Sus scrofa: one gene and its partner. The protein of the gene in region 1 interacts with the protein of each later gene in a pairwise test. Links are inferred from orthologs where the notes say so. Each region holds a gene or a part of one and is shown on either strand. Other genes may lie near its edges. The genes, in order: LHX9 and KHK.

Region 1 (3,023 bases):
TAATGTTTTTGTTAAATCATATTCCTCATTTGTAAGAAAAAGGAATCATCAAAATATTTTTTTGGTTTTAAAATTTAAAAAAACAATGTGAACTTTTCAAAATTCTGTAAATACACATACAATTGCAATATTAAAATAATAATTTTAATTAAATATCTGATTCTTTAACAACCTCATGATTTAACTGGGAATATGATTATTTACCCATCATAATACCACTCTTTTTTTTTTTTTTCTTTGAGATTCTGGAAATAAGTAACATACAATTTTAAGAGGCACTTATTAGAATGATTCCAAAACTCCCCTTACCGACTGAAAGATCTAATTAATTTTTTCTGAAAAATTCAAATACACTTTGTAGACAAAAAAAAAAAAAAATACACTTTGTAAAGGAGACAGTACTATAATAAACTCATTTGCCAAGTGGCTGCAGAAGCTACACACCGAGCTGTTGTTTCTATTTCCCAAATAGCTTGCGGGTTAGAAAAAAAAAAAATAGTCTTGGAGATAATAAAATAATAATTAGAATAATAATAAAAAGAAGAGGAAGCATTAAAAAAAAAAAACAATGTTAGAAAAGGTTCGTTAAGGTAGTTTGTGAGGGGCTTCCGGATTCGTGGCTGTCCATGTGAGAGGTCACGGCTGTCACTACAGTGACAGTGGGATTGGTCAGGTCTGTTAAAGTGGTCGCAGTGCCGAGTGGACTGAGAGCGCCGCTGTCTGCTGAGGGCGGGGCCGGAAGCGACGTGCCATCAGCTTTATCAACACCCCCATTCTCCTGCCGCAAAAGGTTCCTTCTGAATTTGGCTCGTGCGTTTTGGAACCAAACCTGCAAACCAATCCCAATGGATTTCTTTACCGATGTTTAGTTTTATACTTCTTTTCTCTTTCCTTTTTTTTTTTTTTTTTTTTTTTTTTTTTCTTTTTTTGGATTTTTTTAATATATATAATTGTTTTTCTTGGGAGAAAGTGGCTTTTTTTTTTTTTGGCTTTCGTTTAAAACTGAGTGATTCCGGGACGACTAGAAATATCCTCTCCACAGCAGGTGTGCCCCCCCTTCATTAACAAGTGCCCCCTGGGGCAGCAGATGCTTAAGTGGAGATACTATGGGGAAAAAAAGAAGGCACAGGGATAAAGAGTTGGGGAAAGACAGGCTGGTTCCTCAACTGTTGTCTTGAGAATGAGGAAGGGCAAGCTCGTGGAATGGTTCACAAAGTAAGAATCACTCGCATGAAATGAACATCCTTGAAACACATTTCAGGCTACTCTTGAGTCTGACACAGGGCAAGGAATCCCTGCCAAGGAAAAACCTCCAGGCCACAGACTCCAAGCAACCGGAAATTGGGTGGCATTAAAAATGCCTGGTATTTGTCACTGAGAAGTGTACGAGGATCACAGGGGACCCACAGCAACCCCCTATCGTGTCATCAGTTATATGTTTTTTCCATGATGAGTTTAGGAAAGCAACTGGACAGCAGATCTCACTCTCAGTATGTAGTTGTGTAAATATGGATTGTTAAAATGGGAAACTATTCGCTCCAGCTGGTTGTCGAGACACTAACCATATTTGTGGCTTTTCAGGAGCTGACAAAATGGGGAGACTTGAACTTGGAAGCTCATTGCATGTAGTGAGGCTGCAGAGAGTGTGAGACAACACCAGCAGGTCCCCGCCACCACCCAGTCTGTGCACTGAACCTAGGGTGAACGAACGTCCCCAAAGCCACAGCTCCTGCAGATAACATCACCCGCAATTGCAGAGCTGTGAAGCCAGCTGAGCTGGCTTTGGTGGACCCGTCTCTCCATCTGTAGGGAGAATGCGGCTGCGTTTTCAAAGGCTCTGGGTCTCTCCTTGGGTACTCTCACCCAAGCCCCTACAAGGGCTCAGTACACTCTCCAGGGAAGCAACTAAGATAAACTAATAGAATAGAAGCAGTTCAGGAAATACCTGTTATCACTCCACACAGGGAAGAGAACTCTTTTTACCGCAAGGGAAAGGCACAGCCAACGATGGAGGTTTCTTACCTGCAAAACTCTTTTGGTCAGGCCTGTTTTCTGAGCAAGCTGCTTGAGGTCCTTGGCGTCCGGGTTGTGGTTGATGGCGAAGTAGGATTTCATGGTCCGGAGCTGGTGGTGCTTGAAGGAAGTGCGCATGCGCTTGGTCTTCTGCGAGGGGGGGTATGGCTGCTGATCCCGGTCCAGGTGGTCGGCCTCATTCTCGTTACAACCTGTGGCAGTCACAGTGGACAAACAAGGGCTCAGTGGCAAGTCCTGCATTAGCTGAAAAGATGGCAGGTGGCGCGATCGTGTCATGACCCAACAGCAACAGTGGAAAAGGCTGTCGCCCCAATTAGGAGCGCGATCCAGACAAAAGAAAGAGGTTAATTGCCAAAGTCCGCCAAACTAGTCCGTTAGTGTGGACGCAACCAAAGTTTACAGAGTAGAGAAGCATTAGATAAATCCCCTCTTTGGCTCAATGGTTGCTAGAAAACCTGTAAGTGTGGGAGTGAAAGAAATCTTCTCCAAGAGTGAAAAGGAGAAAAACCCCTTTTCTAATACACTCTGTTTTCAGAGACCACGTTTTGTCTGTATCTGGGAAATGAGATGTACTCTCTGGGGATATTGCTCTTTGTCACGAAGGGTGTACAAACAAGGAACTTCAGCTCTCTCAAACCAAAAATTTTGGAGACAGCCCTTCCCCATAAAGGAAGACTCTAAGTTCCAATCTATAGCCTTTTCTCCTAATCCTAGAATCTTTTCCATTAGAGAAAAAAAAAAAAAGTTTAAAAGTGGCTGGAGAAGAGGGAGAAGTTACAAAATAAAAACTGGCAGGGGTCTTACGTAACCAGAAGGGTATTTTTTAGAGGGGTTTTAGCTATGGTCAGCTAACATAGAGCTAACCGGGGTGGGAAGAGTTTTCCCTTGGAGTTATCTTAGTAAATCTTTCGGAAAGAGAAAACTTTGCCAAACTTCTCTTTCCTGGATTTGTGCCTAAAGTGCACCCAGAGCTCACAGGTCAGAGACAC
Region 2 (4,540 bases), on another chromosome or scaffold:
CCCCTGCCACCTGTCTCCCTCCTGACTGCCACCGTTGTCCCCAGGCGTGTTCACCGCCCCTCTGGCTGGACGCTACTTGCTGAGTGCGGTGCTGACTGGGCATCGGCACGAGAAAGTGGAGGCCGTGCTGTCGCGCTCCAACCTGGGTGTGGCCCGCATAGACTCCGGTGGCTACGAGCCTGAGGGCCTGGAGAATAAGCCGGTGGCCGAGAGCCAGCCCAGCCCGGGCGCCCTAGGCGTCTTCAGCCTTATCCTGCCGCTGCAGGCCGGGGATACGGTCTGCATCGACCTGGTCATGGGGCAGCTGGCGCACTCGGAGGAGCCGCTCACCATCTTCAGCGGAGCCCTGCTCTACGAGGACCAGGAGCTGTAACAGGTGTAGACAGGGGGCTGGGCCGCCGGCTACCGCCCGCCAAAGAGCCAGCGGGGGCGGCGGGCTCGCCGGGTCTCGCCTGGGACTGGGCGCTGACTCCGGGCGAGCCGCCGTTTCCGTACCCGCCGCGGCACAGGCGCCCGGAGCAGCCTCCTTCCCACGGTCGGAGCGCGCCGGGTCGGGGACTCGGGTTCCCTCGTTCAGACTTTCGGACTGATCGCCGTCCCCTGCAAGACCCGGACTGCGGAGGAGCCAATCCTCGCACCCTTTGCTCCCCCAGCTGGCCTCTAGACCGAGTCCCTGGGCTCCAGGGCTCTCTCTCGAGGGGCCTCGGGACCCCACCGCCATACTAAACTATTCAGGAATAAAGACATTTGGTTTTTCTAAAAAAAACAAAATACAACAAAAAAAGGCCGTTTACTCCAGCGTGTGTTCAAGCGTAGACAGGCGTACACAGGGGACGGGGCGAGAGAGCCTGGGACCCCGGACCCCGCTTGAGCTCTGCGCTCTGCCTGGGTGGCTCTGCCAGCCCTTGCTCCGGACGCGCGGGCCAGAAGGGCTCCCGCCCCCTTGGAGCCGCAGCGGGGCCTGCCTCCTGGTCGCGCCCTTGCTGCGGGCGTCCGCCAGAGGGCGCTGGAAGCCGGGACCGCGGCGCCGCTAGGCGGGCCTGCCGTCACGTGACCGCCGCCGCTCACCTCGCGGGCCCTCGCTGCTCCACCACGGAGGCTAGACTCGCGCTGGGATTGGCCGAGGCTCGGGGGCGGGGCTGCCGGGACAGCGCAAGCCGCGGCGGCTCGGGATGCCCGGCTCGGGCCGTAGCTGCGAGGCCCTGCTTCACGCCGCCCGTCTAGGTGCTGGGAGGCAGGGCAAGGGATGCCTTTCTGCTGCCACTTTGTCTTGGCATTCAAGAGGGTGCCCAGCCGCGCTTTAGAGAGATTTGCGGTAGTCGGAGTCCGTCGGACAAATGAGGAAACTGAGGGCGAGAAGTGGGAAGCGGAGCCATCTCCTGGGCCGCGCAGCCTGCTGAGCGAAAGCCGGGGACCAAGACCTCGGGGTCTGCGCTCCCAGGCCCGCTGGGGTCGGTGGGTGTGGGGGGCAGGAGCCCGGCTCCGTCCCCTGCACCCCACTGCACCCCTCGCCGCCGGAGGAGACTCCCTGGAGGAGGAGCTCAGGACGCGGAGGAGGAGCCAGGACAGCCCCTGCGAGCGGGACACGATCCTCCAAGATAAGAGGCCGAGCCCGGGAGGAAGCCCGTCAGCCGGGCCAGCCGAGAAAGCTCCGGGAGCGGCCTCATGGAAGAGAAGCAGATCCTGTGCGTGGGGCTAGTGGTGCTGGACATCATCAATGTGGTGGACAAGTACCCGGAGGAGGACACGGACAGCAGGTAGGGATGCCCGGGCCTCTCGGAAACCTCAGGGACCGCTGCCGCCGCCGCCTTGTGCCCGGCGACCAAGAATACGGGGCTGCGGAGCCGGGGCCCCGTGCCCTCTGCCTGTGGCCTTGAGTGCATTGTGTTCGCCGGTTCCCATTTCCACCCTGGGACCGGGTCAGACATCATTGTCCTCATTTTACCGAGTAAGCAAATAGAGACCCCGAGAGTCGCAGTGACTTATGCGAGGGCAAGCAGCTAAGAAGGTGCATGCAGGGCCAGTTTCTTTGTGTTTTCCTTTTTTTTTGGTCTTTTTTAGGGCCTTACCTGCGGCATATGGAAGTTCCCAGGCTAGGGGTGGCCTTACAGCACAGCCATAACAATGCTGGATCCGAGCTGCGTCTGAGACCCACACCGCAGCTCATGGCAACGTCGGATCCTTAACCCACCGAGGGAGGCCAGGGATGTGCCGGTTGTGGCTCAGCTGTACTAGTTTCCATGAGGATGAGCCACGACCGGAACTCCAGTTTTTTCCTTTTTAATAGCAAGACCTATATGCCCGCCTCTCACCGGCACTGACTTCTAATATATTTACCACATAGAGAGCTCATCTGTTTCTTTAAAAAAAAAAAAAGAAAATCGAGGTCACTTCCAAGAAGATATGCAGTTAGACTGTTCAAGAGCATTTGAAACCATGATGTTTGAGCTTCACTGTAGCTCAGAGCTTGCTGGCTGTGCAGGCACATTTGGAGATGCTGTGAGTTGTGGGTAGAGCTGGCTCATGAGACTTCTCCCTGGTGCTGAATTCCAGAAGTTTCCCAGAAATCCTTTTGACAGCAGTCAGTAACAACATAGTGGACACCATCCCACTCGGTTGTCTGGTAGAAGTTGAAGAGTCATGTGTTGGTTCCTATATTTACTCTTGATAAGAACCAAACCGTTAACACTCTAATCCCAAGACCACTTCTGTGCAGCAGAATCCGTGGCTGTCTCTGGGTGCAGTCTAGTGCTTAGAACACAGAGAAAACTTGCTTCCTGGCTCTCAATTGTCTCAGCCTAAGAACTGGATAAAAGCCTAGTTCAAGGCTGAGCTCAGGCAAGACACTGCAGCGCTGGCGGCCTTGAGGCCCCCGCATTTTTCAGGCATTGGGTGCACACAGCACAGGCACAGTCACACACTTGCCGCACAGCAGCCCATGGGAAGTGGCTAAGGACCAGTTGCCTCCTCCTCTCTTTTTCGGATGAGGAAGCCAGAGATTTGGAGAAATTAGATTTCTGTGAGGCCATAGAGTTAATGAGTGGCAGAGCAGTGGTGACACCTCAGGCGTCCTACCTCTGAGCCTCTGTCATCTCTTGAGCTCCCCGTTCCTTTGCTGCTGCCCGTCTGATGGACTTGACCCTCTGCTTTGGGCTGCTTGCTTTGCCAGGGGTGCAGGGCACCCGGGTGTGCTGCTGGGTGGACCTAGCCCTCCTGCCAAGGTCAAGCCAGCCCCAGGACTTGGCGCACAGTGAGGTGTGAGGTCTGTTCTCTGCGCGGATTCTGGGACCACAGGCTCCTCGAGAATGGCAGAGGGCCCCGGGAGGCCACAGGGTGCCACCGTCCATGAGAGCCGACTCCCTTTTCCTCTGAGCTGCTCTGTCGGGAGACCAGAACCTTGCTGGTCCCACCCTGATGGGGGCTCTTCAGAATGTGGGCGCTTAAGTGATTGACACCTCTCGAAGGAGCCCCTTCCCAAGTCCTCCACACGCCCTGCCCTTCCGAGGGTACCCCCTCCCCCAGACCCAGGGCTTGCTCCTCTGCCGAGCAGGCTGGCTGTCCACAGGGCCTGTCCCCTGTGCTCCAGTCCCACCCGGCCCAGCTCCTGGCCTCTGCCATGCCTCCTAGATGAGCAAACTGAGTGCGGACCCAGCCGCTCCCAGCATCTCAGCCGCACCTGACCCAGGCTGTCTCCATAGGCGGCTGCAGCCTCACAGGAGCTGCTGCATGGCACACGGCCAGACCCCTGAGCATGGAAGTTGGGTGTCAGTATGACTTCGAAGGGTTTCCACAGAGTAAAGCTGTAAACCCTTTCACTGAAACCTCATCCACGCTGGGACCCAACAACTTGCCATATTCAGAGACACGCAGCGCATGCAGGGCTTTGGGGGTCAGGAGACCTGGGTTCTGGTGTCGGCTCTGTCATTCACTGTTGGTGTGACCTTGAGCAGGTGCAGGCCCTCGAAGCTTCTCGTCTTTTCTCTGCATGAGGAGGCTTGCCCGGGGGAGGCGGGTCACTGTGGCTGAGGAGGGGTAACCCAGAGTCAGCGGAGCCCTCGAATCCTAGTGGCCCTGAGCGAGTGCTTTCCTGAGGTCCTAGGAACAGGTGGAAGATAGAAATTAATCACCGTGAACTTGCATTTAGCCTGCGCTGGGTCCTCAGCCACGACCCTTCCCTGCACGGAGCCTTAGCTGTCCATCTAGAAGTGAGAAGGCCGGTCTGGGTGCTTGCCGATGGGGAGCTCCCGGTTCCTACCTTCTGCAGGCCCTACCCAGGCTCAGCCCTTCTTGTCCCGGCACCAGCCTGCTGGAGCTGCCGGGACCCTGCTTGTGTGTTGCAGGTGTTTGTCGCAGAGGTGGCAGCGTGGAGGCAACGCTTCCAACTCCTGCACGGTTCTCTCCCTGCTCGGAGCCCCCTGTGCCTTCATGGGCTCGCTGGCCCCGGGCCACGTTGCCGAGTGAGTGGAGGGAGCAGGGGAGGCTGGCCCGCAGGGTGGGGAGAGGGACGCCTCGGCCCTGGGTGTGTGGGCTCTGAGACATG

What was found.
Region 2: the proteins of LHX9 (region 1) and KHK interact in binary tests that used the Homo sapiens proteins (3 or more experiments, as listed by UniProt). The two-hybrid records come from large-scale screens. The link is inferred for Sus scrofa from reciprocal best matches to the Homo sapiens genes LHX9 and KHK.

The regions. Positions count from the first base shown.
Region 1 is NC_010452.4:20,757,431-20,760,453, reverse strand, and holds part of LHX9 (LIM/homeobox protein Lhx9), read right to left. Parts: intron 2,226-3,023; coding exon 2,023-2,225; intron 830-2,022; coding exon 572-829; 3' UTR 1-571. UniProt on the Homo sapiens protein: Involved in gonadal development.
Region 2 is NC_010445.4:112,028,163-112,032,702, reverse strand, and holds the start of KHK (ketohexokinase), read left to right. Parts: upstream 1-1,569; 5' UTR 1,570-1,665; coding exon of another isoform or gene 1,666-1,717; coding exon 1,718-1,757; intron 1,758-4,302; coding exon 4,303-4,457; intron 4,458-4,540. Other genes in the region: EMILIN1 (EMILIN-1), read left to right, coding at 45-373. UniProt on the Homo sapiens protein: Catalyzes the phosphorylation of the ketose sugar fructose to fructose-1-phosphate.